Drosophila melanogaster: one gene and its partner. The protein of the gene in region 2 purifies or fractionates together with the protein of the main gene of each other region. This does not show direct contact. Each region holds a gene or a part of one and is shown on either strand. Other genes may lie near its edges.

Region 1 (7,207 bases), on a different chromosome or scaffold from region 2:
CCACCCAGCCCATATCTGAGGCCGCCCACCAGGTGTGGCCAGGATTGATGCCATAGAGAGTTCTCAGCGTGTACACCAGAGCAACCAAGTGACCTCCGATGGTGCGAAGTACTCCCTTGGGCTTATCCGTCGTTCCAGAGGTATAGAGGATATACAAAGGATCGTTGGCCTCGATGGGAACACAGGCTATGGGCCGCTCGCCCTCCGCCATCTTAAGAATATCCGACCAGAGCACATCCGTCAGAGGATCCAGTTTGGTGGTATCTGGCGAAACATTATCACGCCGAAAGATTATGTTACGCTGCGGTGGTCGCCATCGCGACATGCTAATAGCTGAATGAAGGATGTCCAGGTAGGGCACCACTTTGCCCGGCTCCACGCCCACATTGGAGGCGATCACCAGTTTTGGTTCCACATGTTCGATGCGCGAGCAGAGTTCGCGGGCAGCGAAGCCACCGAAGACCACGGAGTGAATCGCACCCAGACGCACAATTGCCAGCATGGCAATGATGGTCTCCGGGATGAGGGGCATGTAGATCACGACGCGATCACCTTTGACCACGCCCAATTTGGCCAGGCCGCCTGCCAGCAGAACGATCTGGTCATACAGCTCCTGATAGGTAACCCGACGCAGTGTGCCAGTCAAGGGGCTGTCATGGATTAGGGCCACATTGGAGCCGCGGCCGGCCAGTATGTGGCGATCAATGGAATTGTAGCAGGCATTCAGGTAGCCACCCACATACCACTTGGTGAATGGCGGATTACTGTTGTCCAGTACCTTCTCCCATGGCCGATCCCAGTCGAGCAGGTTACCCTGCTCCTCCCAAAATGCAGCCGGATTCTGAACACTCTGGCGATAGGCCTTCAAGTAGAGAGGATCGTGAGCCTCCACCGGCATGCCGCATACAGATTCACCTGCGGAAAAGGTATAGCAGCAGGTGACCATTAGATGGGCGGGTTCATTGTTTCCTCTATTGGGTTAATCGCTGCTTTTAATTAGGCTATCAAACTAAATTACAAACCTTCCACTCCATACCACCTTACACACACCAGGCACATTGAATTTTAAATTTTCCAAATGTCGCGGTCACTCAACTGATTTCTATATACCCAACCTGGCACCCATGTACTGCACATATGCGTCGGGTGTGCGGCTCACCCAGACGCCGAGCATAATCCACACGTGATTGGCGATGGATATTGGACCTAAAAGCCTCCTTGTTGAATAAGCTAATCGAATTCATTAATATTTAGTGCCGACAGTTTGGGCGCACAACTAAACACTAATTAATCACTTCAAAGTCGCATCGAAAGTTCATTATTTTAATTGGCGAGCAGTGGTTTAAAACACAATATTTATCACCTTGAACTCTTGTGCATAAATTATCTATCTATCTACATCGCACTGCAAGAATCCAAGAATATTGTAAAAAGTTGGACTCCACTTAGATAGTTTTTGGAAAATTCGAAAATCTATAGAATTCATTTAGATCACAACGAAAGTTGGCATATTAGTTTTCCAAGCACTTTATTTGATGTTCTAAAAGTTGTTTATTTTAACTGATGTTTTCAATATGCGTATTAAAATATGTGTACCGATATAAATATATGTTCCGCAAAAATCACGCGATTACTCATTGATTAAATTTTTTAGCCTTTTCATATGAATTTCGAAACCTTTTTCGACTTACTGCCTTCGTAGTTCACTGCACTAGGACCGGGTTCCATTGTAACTTTGTATAACTTCCGTTCTTGTATATATTCAAGTCAAGTTAATGTATATATGTATTTATTATATATATTCTTTTTGAATTTTTTGGATCAAACGAGCTCAGCACAACCGTCGCACTGTAGTCGAAACTTTGCAATGGGTCTGGAGAATGTAGAACGCAAGTTGGAAACCAAAACCTTAAACAAAACACCCGATCAAAGGTATGCTTTCGAAACTCTCCGAGATCGGCAGAGCCGGAACGGTGGAAAAGGTTTACGAAACGGAGCGGAATTTAAAAACCTTACATTTTATTTATACGAAATGATTGTAGTTACACATCTTCAGCGTAGTCTAGTTCCACATAAGCAAAGATCCAAAGAATTACTTCTTTTTCTTATCCTTCTTTGTCTTTTTCGATGGAGGTGCCGCAGAAACCGCTTGGCTATCAGTTCCTTCGGTGGTCGTTTCCACGCTGAAGCCCTTGATGTACGGCTTGACCAGCCGGAAGATCAGCTTCTCGTGCTGCACATTGCTGGAATCCAGGCTAAGACGAACCGTGACTGGATCAAAGGAGTGGAACACCACGTCACCGCAACGCTGTGTATGATCCTCTTCGTTGAAGGTGAAGACAATCTCGCTCTTGACGCGCTCCACACCGTCCTTGCCATCCTTGTCCGACTTTAGATACAAAGTGCCTTCCAGGCCATACTTGGGGATTAGCACTTGCAGAGCATTCTTGCGCACAAATAGCACATATCTAGGGATGGGTAATAATTGAAAAGAATGTTGCCCACTAGTGGTTTCTTCGACTCACCCTTCCTCATCCTCCTCCTTGCCGCGGAAAAAGAGATGCGTGTTGAGGGCCACTGATGCGCGACCAGCGTACTGAGCCATTTTGTGGCGGTAGTTAAGATTATGACACAGCTCCTCATTTGACTTTCGGTCCAATAGCTGGGCATAGGTGCTATCCGCGCCGATTGAGGCGGCCAGCAGGCGATGTACCATAATGTCGGAGTAACGACGAATGGGCGACGTAAAGTGCGTGTAGATGGGAGCAGCCAGACCGTAGTGGAAGAACTCCTCCTTCTGCAGACTGCCGCTGATGAAGTACACTGCCTGCATCATACAGCGTGTGGTGAGGATGCGGATCATTGTGTTAAAGTACGGATTATCCGCCTTGACACACTTGTCCAGTGAATGCGACAGCTCCAGTCCCGAATTGATGTCCACCTGGAAGCCCTGGTAGCGCGCAGACTTTACCAGCGGATCGAAATTGGTAGGCGGTGGCCGAGGATGGCGACGCAGAACAGCGCACTCGGAGAACTCCGTTGCGATATGCTCGGCCACCGTGATGTTGGCCAGCAACATGAACTCCTCCACCATGGAATTCGTCTCGCGCATCTGCTTCACCTCCACCTCGAGTGGTTCGTGTGTCTCGCTGTCCACCTGGAAGCGGATCTCCGGGGAGGCAAGGACAAGGGCTCTGTAAATTATGGATGCCTTAGTTCACTTGATTACGAGGTGTTAATATAATCTTACCCATTATCCATTCGTCGCTTTTTCAGTATTTTGGCCAACCGATTAAGATTTCTCAGGGACTTGGCTATTTCATTCTGTTGCGTGGCATCGTCGATGATATTCTGCGCTTCCTCGTAGGTCATGGCACGCTTCGATTTGATGACGCTCTTGTGGAAGCGTTTGCTTAACACATTTGCTTCATTGTCCACTTCCCACACGCAGGAGAAGGCGAATCGCTCAACACCGCCAACCAATGAGCAGAGATTTGAGCTGAGTAACTCGGGTACCATGTCGATTCGTTTGCCCACCAAGTACACGGTGGTTCCCCTGGCCGCTGCCTCCATGTCCAGTGCGTTTCCTGGACGAATAAAGTGACTTACGTCGGCTATGTGAACGCCCACTTCCAGATTGCCGTTCGGTAGTTCCTTGCAGTGCAAAGCATCATCGATATCCGTGCAGCCCGGGGGATCCACAGAGCAAATGTACAGATCCCTCAGATCCACACGCTTGGAATAGTCCTCGTCAGTAATTGTCCAGGGCATTTTCGGCAAGAAGCTAAGCACTTCGTCCGAGAACTTGCAGTGCGGGACGTCGTGCTCCAGCAGGATAACCTCGTTCTCGGTGGCCATGTCTCCGAGCGGTCCCAGGGAGCGCACAAAATGTCCATGTGGGTAGCGCGAGTTGCGCGGCCATGTGTCAATCGTTACGATGATGCGCTGGTTCTGCAGCATTGCTGCCTGTCGCGTTTCGATACGGATGCGCGGAATCTTACGGTCGGCGGGCACAAAGATGTGCCGATTTGTATCCTCTATTAAGCTAGGCTGCAGGATGCCGCAATACTGTCGCCATTTCCGTCGCACAATACCGACAATTCGCCCTGTGGGCGTGCGCTCTGCGGATAAGGCAGCGGCACGCACCTGATTCAACATCTCATTTTCATCCTTGGCCCTTTCCTCGCTGGGCACTTCATCGGCATAGACATTCTTCTCCTCCAGTACAATTTCACTGGGTGCTGACCACTCCGCCTCGGGCAAAAGCTCCACGGCCACCAGGTCGCCATCCACGGCCCGATTAAGAGACTCGCGTCCTTGGATAAGGATCTATTAAACAGAAATCGTATTGTGAAGCGTATGCCAGGGAAGATATTTAGCGTTTTAACTTACCCCCTTTTCGAATTTCTCTACATTGACGGTGCCCTCCAAGTAGTTTTCCCTGGATGCCTGAAAAGTGCCCTGTAGTAGCTTATTTTGGCGCAGTCCTTCCAGCAGCTCCTTCATGCTGAGATGCGGCGGGTACTGGGGCAGACCATTCTTCTCGCTGTCGAATGTTTTGTGCGACAGCTTATCCATCAGAAGTGGAAAATCCTCGAGAGATTTCACGTACTCCGCTGCTGTGGTCACCAGAATACCTTCTGCTTCGGCCTTAGCACGATTGGCAGCATCATCTGTGAGCAGAACAACTCGCGTAGCAGCTTTGCCACTGCGCTCGAACTCTTTAGAGGATTGCGAGGCCTGCAGGTGATCATCGTACCACTTGGTGGCCAGACGAATGGCCCGATCATTGCGATCATTGGCGGTCTCATCTGGTTCGCGATCAGCATAGGTTTCCCTAGAAGAAGCACTATATTATAAAGGTTTCCCAAGAAAATCCATTAACCCACTTGTGGTGCTCGTTGACGAACACATAGAAGTTCCTGGTGCGGTCGTGGACGATCTCATTGAATCGCTTGTAAATGGCGGAGCTCCTGTGCTTCACCTCGTTGAGCACGGTGGTCAGAACGACTACGTTGCGCAAAACATCCTCCTCCAGCACGTCGATCTGGTCCAGAACCACATTTGTGTCCAAAACGAGATAGTGCGGGAATTTGAAGAGGGTGCTCTTATTCGCGTGCTGCGAGGTGAGCTGGTATACCTCGTTTTGGAAACACTCCCGGCACAGCTCGGAGCCGCAGCCGATGTCGTCGCGCAGATAGTGCTCCCGTACAATCTTCAGAATGTTGCCGCGCTTGGTTTTACGCGTAAATTCGCGTAAAGTTTGCATTTTGTTGAACCGCGTTCGAATTGTTACACCTTCACATGTGTGCCGGAATAGGGAGGCCCGTGCATGATTCGACTGCGGTATTATCTGCCTAAGGCCTGTTCACACTGCAGCCGCAATGGTCACAGTGGTTTGAGTCTACGGACTGCCCCGTATCTTAAGGTATAATTTAGTACCATTTATTGAACTGATTTTCTATATCGGCGCTTAGCACGTGTAGAACGCACGTTGCTCAAATTTTGTTATTTAAAACGCTAAATTACACAGCTCCCGGATGGTGCCGAACGAGAAAAGCTTTCCCCGAGGCGGGACAATCCACAGCGAAGTCAAAACCGACGACGTGAGCCTGAATATCGTGAGTTTAGCCAGCGAAATATCCGAGATCTTTGTACATACTTTTCTGTCCCACAGGTTTTCGGTGCCTCGCAGAAGAAGGTGAAGAAGGCGCCGAAAGTAAAAGAGAACCTTCTGAGCTACGAAACCGAGGAACAAAATGGCCAACTGGAGGCCTTCTCCGCGGAAACGCTCAATATGGACACGCTGCAGGAGGACATGCTGGTCATGGGAGTGGTCAAGGAGTTGACAGCCACCGCACTGCAGATCGCTTTGCCCGGTCGGATGTTCGCCCGCACCTTGGTGGCGGATATATCCGACGCCTACACCCGTGTGGCCAAGGCGGCCATGTCCGGAGACACCAGCGAGTACCACGACCTTACCGAGCTCTTCCAGTTGGGCCGCATCGTCTACGGCAAGGCCATCAAAACAGAAAAGCTGGACACCGGTCGGGTTAGCCTGCTCCTTTCCCTCAAGCCGGCCGATGTGCACGGTAATCTGCATCACAAGAGCATTAAGAAGGGTTTCATCTTCTCTGGCGCCGTGGCGGAGGCTCTGGAGCACGGCTATGTCATCGAGTCGGGAGTACAAGGACTTCAGGCATTCGTGCCATGCGAGAAGCCAGCTCAGAAGCTACACGTGGGGCAGTTGGCTTTCCTAAAAGTCAAAACCGTTCATCACGACACCCACCAGAGCACCTGCACCTGTGTCCAGGTGGAGCAGGACCAGCTGCGCATCAAGAGTCAAAACGAGACGAATCTCGACTACATTCTGCCAGGCAGCATTGTAAAGTTTAAGGTGGCCAAGCATCTGAAGGATGGCCTCAAAGGCAGCATCATGAATGAATCCTTTAGTGCCTACGTCAACGAACATCATCTAGCTAACGCTTTGGATACTTTGGATGCCTACGAGCTGAATGAGGATTACAATGCCAGGGTACTCTACGTGATGCCCCTAACCAAACTAGTGTACTTAACTCTTAATCTGGATATCAAAACTGGAGCTGCAGTAGCAAAAGATCAGGATGAGGAAGAGCAGGAGGTAGAGCCCATAAAGGTGGGTTCCGTGGTGGAAAAAGCCAAGGTTCTGCGCTTGGGCAGCGGTGGCGTGGTACTGCTTCTTAATAAGAAACTAAAGGGCATTATCTCATACGGTTCAATCAGAGGCAATTTCAAGGGAAATTATGACAAGGACGAAGTATTGTCCAAATACGGAAGAAAAACGAAGCATAAGGTTCGCATCCTAGGATACGATGTCATCGAATCCTTGTACTACTGCTCCGATGATCCCAACGTGGTCAACGAAAAGCTGTTCTGCCTGGAGGATATTAATGCCGGCGATCTGGTCACAGCGAAAATATTCAAGAAGGATGACAAGATCAAGGGCTGGTCGGTGAGGATCGGCAAGGTCAACGGAATACTGGAACAGTTCTATCTGGCACCCAATGTCCGCTACGATGTGGGTCAGTCGTTGAAGTGCCGCGTCCTAGAAGTTAATGCCGAGCGAAAAATCTGCTACGTGAGCAATCGTGCCGAGTATTTGGGCAAGGGAATTAAAATTCTGACTGATTATGCGTCCGCTCACGTTGGAAACGTCTATATGGGCACA
Region 2 (5,615 bases):
GCACTGTGGACAAGAGCGGACGTACCATTAATATTCCCACGGTGACACCTACATTGAAAGCCAACATACGCGCCAAGAAACGGGAGGTGTTCCAACGCCAAACGGGTTTGGGTGAACGGAGTGAATCGGGCACTTCGGCCCAGGAAGAAGCTATTAAGTACTTTGACGACCGCATAGCCCTGAAGCCCACTGTTAGAACCAAGAGGACGTTGAGATTCCACGAGCCCGGAAAGTTCCAGCAGCTGGCCGAACGAATGCGCATGAAAAGCCAGCTGGAGCGACTACAGAATGAGATTTCGCAAATAGCCCGGAAAACGGGCATCTCGTCGGCCACCAAACTGGCATTGATTGCCCCCAAGCAGGACATGCCGGACGATGTGCCTGCCATGGAGTGGTGGGACTCAGTTATACTGACCCAGGATCTGGAGACGGTAGACGACGCAAGCGGTAAGATAAGCATACGCCAAACAGCCATAACCAACCTTATAGAGCATCCCACACAAATGAAGCCGCCAAGTAAGTTGAAAGCTAGAACATGTCCCACAAGCAACTAACCACCTACTCCTTCAGATGAGCCCTTGAAACCAGTGTATCTGCCGGTTTTCCTCACAAAGAAAGAGCGCAAAAAGCTTCGTCGCCAGAACCGTCGCGAGGCCTGGAAGGAGGAGCAGGAGAAGATCCGACTGGGTTTGGTGGCCCCACCAGAGCCGAAACTGCGCATATCCAACCTGATGCGTGTGCTTGGCTCGGAGGCCGTACAAGATCCGACCAAAATGGAGCAGCATGTGCGCGACCAGATGGCCAAGCGGCAGAAGGCGCACGAAGATGCCAACAATGCGCGCAAGCTGACCAGCGAGCAGAAGAGCGAAAAGAAGCAGCGCAAGCTGAGGGAAGACACCAGCTGCGGTGTACATGTCAGCGTCTATCGCATACGAGATCTGCAGGACAACCAGAGCAAGAAATTCAAGGTGGAGACCAATGCCAAGCAGCTGCAGATGACCGGCAGCGTGGTGTTGTTCCGGGATTGCTGTGTGGTTGTCGTGGAGGGTGGGCCCAAGCAGCAGAAAAAGTATCGCAGGCTCATGCTAACGCGCATTAAGTGGGAGGAGGACAACGCCAAGGGCAATGACGGCCAGGACGTGCCGAACTCATGCGTACTCGTCTGGGAGGGGACTAGTCAGCGACGGCACTTTGGCGAGATCAAGTTTAAGATCTTTCCAATGGAAAAAATGGCCCGTGAGTTTTTTCAGAAGCACCAGGTCGAACACTACTGGGATCTGGCCTACTCCGGAGCCGTGCTTGAGGCCTCCACGGATCAGCAGTAGATAAAAGGCATTTTAAGAATTGCTAGATACACTACAGTTCTACAAATTCACTTTCGGAAAGATACAAGTCTGAATTAAAGTTTTGAAGCGCGCTACGCATTTGATGTTATTATTTTCGAAGCTATTCGGAACTTTGGAAGTGCAAAAATAACGAATAAAAGTTTTATCTGGACTCTAAATATTTGTAGTAATCATTTTTTAAGTGGTGGTTGTTGTTCAAATAGATCTGGGATTTATATTAGTATGATTTATTCTCAACCAACTACTGCCTCTTTACATAGGGATCCTCCCGGATGTTCGATTGTATAAACTCCTCTGGTCCTTGCTTCTTTAGCTTCTCGATTATTTCCTCCAAACGCTGATCTTCTAGAGCGGTCTCGGCTTTCTCGCGTAGATCTAGTTCGTGCTGCTCCTTCACCCGCTTCGTGAGCACGCCTTTGACTAGTTCTCTCAGGGACTTGTTAATGGCCAGGGTGTAATCCAGCAGCTTTACATAGGTGGCTGGACTGAGATATCCGCACTGCTGGCACTGGGCGATCTGTTCAAAGGTATCCATGCTGGCGGTAATGATCAGGCCGTGCTCCTGGGCGGATGATGGGCTGGTTGTGCTATCGGTGCTGCTGTTGCGATGCTTCCAGAGCAGCTCCTCAACCTTGGCACTGGGATTCAGGAAGACGTGATCCCGATAGATACAAGCTGTGGAGGCCGTAATTAAGTCGTAAGTGGAAATGCCGCACTCCACCAAAGCGACTCCGCAGCAATTGATGGCAGTGCTGAGCAGGCAGCCGTCATCGTCGAGAATAAGCACCCGTATGTCCAGCTGAAAGTTAAGGAACTCCGTGCGGCACACCACCGGCTCCATGGCCTTGGTCAGCATGCTGCTCAGGTGGCGTTCCCGTTCCGGCACCGAATCTAGATCCCCTGTGCTGAAGGCCGCAAAATTCACATAGCAATTCAGAACACCCATGTTCATTCTGCGTGCGCTGGCGCGGATTAGCTCCTTTGGCGGGGCCACAATGGCCAGAACCTTGGTGTTACCATACTCCATGTAGGCGGAACCTCTCACTGTGGTCAACACACCGGCGCGGATGACTGTAAGTCACAAGAGGTATGAGAAATTGAAATACAAATAAGGATGTGCACTTCTAACAGGTGTTTCTGGGTGCCAGTTGTGTTGGCTCCCTCGACGGTTTGTCTAGACTCTCAAAGAAATCCTCGCTTTCCTGCGGAGTTGTGTACGGCTCTTCCTCAATGGAGGCTCCATCGAGTAGGGTGTTCTTCGTCTGGTTCACCGCTAGCATATTTATATTATATCTTTTGATTGAATATAAAAATAAACAAACTGAGTTCACATGTGGTCTAAAGACTTTTAAGTTTTCGATTAAAATACAAATCTGGTATTTTTGTATATTTCGATATTTTATACCGATTCTGTATCGTTTCGTGGGTTATCGTATTTGAATGAAAACCTTCAAAGAACCTTAATAATAAGAACCTAAAATAAGTCTTCTTATTAGTGCTAATTGTGCTAATTATTTATAAAGTCTAAATAATGTTTTGATTCCTTCTGATAATTGATAACTTAGTAGTATTTTCTTTGTTACTAAGAGAAAAAAGAGCTTAAATATAATCGCAGAAAAATCGATTGCCGAAGTGTAAAACAACGCTTAAGATAACGCTAATCCACTCGGTACAGACTGAAGAGATTTCTGGGAATATGGCCGACAAGAAGCACTGCCATGGATGGCCTTGCATCAGGCCTGGAATAGTGTGTCGCGGAATAGAATACTGATGGTAGGATATATGCCCGCGTTATAGATTTTACTTTTGAATTTCAGTGAAGAGTTGCGAGGCTAGCTTTAGTATTATCTTAAAAGAAAATTCAAGACAAGTAAAAGCCATGCGGAATAGCCATTATTTCGGAGTTACCCATTCATAGTTTGAAACCCATATCTCTAATATTATATACACCTGACGACTGATTCCTTTTTTTGCAGGACCAAAAGTTCTGCCATTGCTGCTGATATGAAAGTCAAGAGAGAAAAAAATTAGAACCACAATACCTCGGATCAAGAGGATTTCTCAAATTCACAGCTTTTGGGGTCCGATGACGGAGACAGTTTTGTAGGAGATGCCGAGAATTCATCTAATGAATCAGTGTCAGTGAAATAATGTTTTTCCTAAACTCACGAAGATATTACGCAGGATGAATGTTGGAACTAGAGAGATCCATTAACATCCTAACCAACCATCAACCAATTTCTGAAGAAATCAGATTAGATCAGTTAATTTCAAGAGACCCATTTTTGCATATTGGGACTCGCTACTTCACCAAATACTTCCGCAGCAAAAGCAGACAAGAGTTTTTTGGCCAGAAAATAACGCATTGTGTCATAAGTAGCCCAACATGTTTGAAAATATAAACGATCTCCGTTGATATCAAGGAATTACAGCTAATACAACTGCAAAGGCCGGAAGTTAAATGGATATTTAAAATATCTGCATATCACAACATTTTTAAATATATACACATACACAAATATAGTTAGCTTTTTCTTTCACTTTCTAAACCTTTCAATTTTGATTGGCAAGGCCCCTAAAAATCGATAAGGTGAAAGTCACTGCCATCACTATTTGAACGTTACCAGCTCGTGGTAACGGTAGCTGATTATTCTGGTATTTTAAACAGATTAGCGCGGCATAGCCTGGCGTTCGCCGCGCGGTCACACTGCAAAAAGCGCTGTGTAATTCTGCTGTTTCAACAACGAAAAAGAAGGAACAAAGCCGCATAAACCGCATTACAATCGAAGAAAACGTAGTGCCAATTAAATCCCTTAAGTCCGACAAGCTAGGAAAGAAATCATGACGGGCGAGACCAAGCTGGAGAAGAAGCCGCTGAAGCCGGCGGCATCCGAAGGCGATGCCAAGGATCCGAAGGCCAAGAAGGATGAAAAGAAGGACGGCAAGGACAAGGAGCAGCAGCCGGAGCTCTCCGACGAGGACCAGCAGCTGCAGGAGGAGCTGGAGCTGCTGGTGCAGCACTTGCAGGAGCCGGATGCCAAGCTCTACCAGCCGACGCTGGAGAGTATGGCCAAATTGATCAGAGCCTCCACGACGTCGATGACCTCGGTGCCCAAGCCTTTGAAGTTCATGCGCCCGCACTACGAAACCATGAAGACGGTGTACAAGCACATGCCCAATGAGCAGGCTCGCCAGTTGTGCGCCGACATCATCTCAGTGCTCTCGATGACCATGGGCAGCGGCAAGGATTGCCTGGCCTACCGATTCCTCTGCGATCGCAAGCAGCGCATCGGGGACTGGGGCCATGAGTATGTGCGTCATTTGTCTGGCGAAATTTCGGCCCACTATCACGATACAACGGGAGACTTTCGTGTACAGCTCATCGAACTGGTCAAGCAGATCATCCCGTACAATATGGAGCACAATGCCGAGGCTGATGCCTGCGATCTGCTGATCGAAATCGATCACTTGCACCTGCTGAGCGACTTTGTGGACGAGTCGGCCTATCCCCGCGTCTGTCTCTATCTGCAGTCCTGCTATCCGTATGTTCCCGACCCGGACAACACCATTATCCTGGAAACCGCGCTCCAGCTGTCGCGCAAGTTCAACCAGTACACACAGGCCATGCGACTGGCGTTGATGCTCAACGATATGGACAAGATCGGTGAGATCTTCAAGGAGCCCAAGGAGCCGGCCATGCAGAAGCAGCTGGCCTTTATGCTGGCCCGCCAACAGATTTGCCTGGAGCTGGATGAATTGGTGCCGGACTACGATGATCTCATGGAGATCATGTCGAATGCTAATCTGAACAAGCATTTCCTCAATCTGGCTCGCGAACTGGACATCATGGAGCCCAAAACGCCTGAGGACATTTACAAGTCGCATTTGGACAACTCGCGCTCCCGCTTTGCATCCATCCAGGTAGACTCTGCCAAGCAAAATCTGGCCGCTAGCTTTGTAAATGGTTTTGTTAACGCCGGTTTCGGTGTGGACAAGTTGCTGTCGGAAGACGGAAACAAATGGTTGTACAAGAACAAGGAGCACGGCATGCTCTCGGCCACCGCATCGCTGGGTTTGATACTTCTGTGGGATGTGGATGGTGGTCTGACCATGATCGATAAGTACTTGTACTCCACCGATGACAACATCAAGTCCGGCGCTTTGCTGGCTTGCGGAATCGTCAACTGCGGCATCCGTAACGAAGTCGATCCGGCTCATGCTCTGCTCTCCGATTATATCGACAACCAGAACTCCTGCATGCGCGTTGGC

Evidence for each region.
Region 1: the proteins of Mtr3 (region 2) and Dis3 purify together in Drosophila melanogaster (affinity purification with western blotting; 2 studies listed by BioGRID, with this or other methods). This does not show direct contact.

The regions. Positions count from the first base shown.
Region 1 is NT_033777.3:24,331,555-24,338,761, reverse strand, and holds Dis3 (Dis3), read right to left. Parts: upstream 5,330-7,207; 5' UTR 5,270-5,329; coding exon 4,890-5,269; intron 4,838-4,889; coding exon 4,393-4,837; intron 4,330-4,392; coding exon 3,251-4,329; intron 3,195-3,250; coding exon 2,526-3,194; intron 2,469-2,525; coding exon 2,093-2,468; 3' UTR 1,729-2,092; coding exon of another isoform or gene 1,692-1,728; 3' UTR 1,514-1,691; downstream 1-1,513. Other genes in the region: CG6432 (uncharacterized protein), read right to left, coding at 1-915, 1,692-1,728; Rrp5 (ribosomal RNA processing 5), read left to right, coding at 5,541-5,621, 5,678-7,207.
Region 2 is NT_037436.4:19,911,004-19,916,618, forward strand, and holds Mtr3 (Mtr3), read right to left. Parts: upstream 2,713-5,615; 5' UTR 2,627-2,712; coding exon 2,476-2,626; intron 2,418-2,475; coding exon 1,588-2,417; 3' UTR 1,402-1,587; downstream 1-1,401. Other genes in the region: Prp3 (precursor RNA processing 3), read left to right, coding at 1-516, 571-1,325; Rpn1 (regulatory particle non-ATPase 1), read left to right, coding at 4,188-5,615.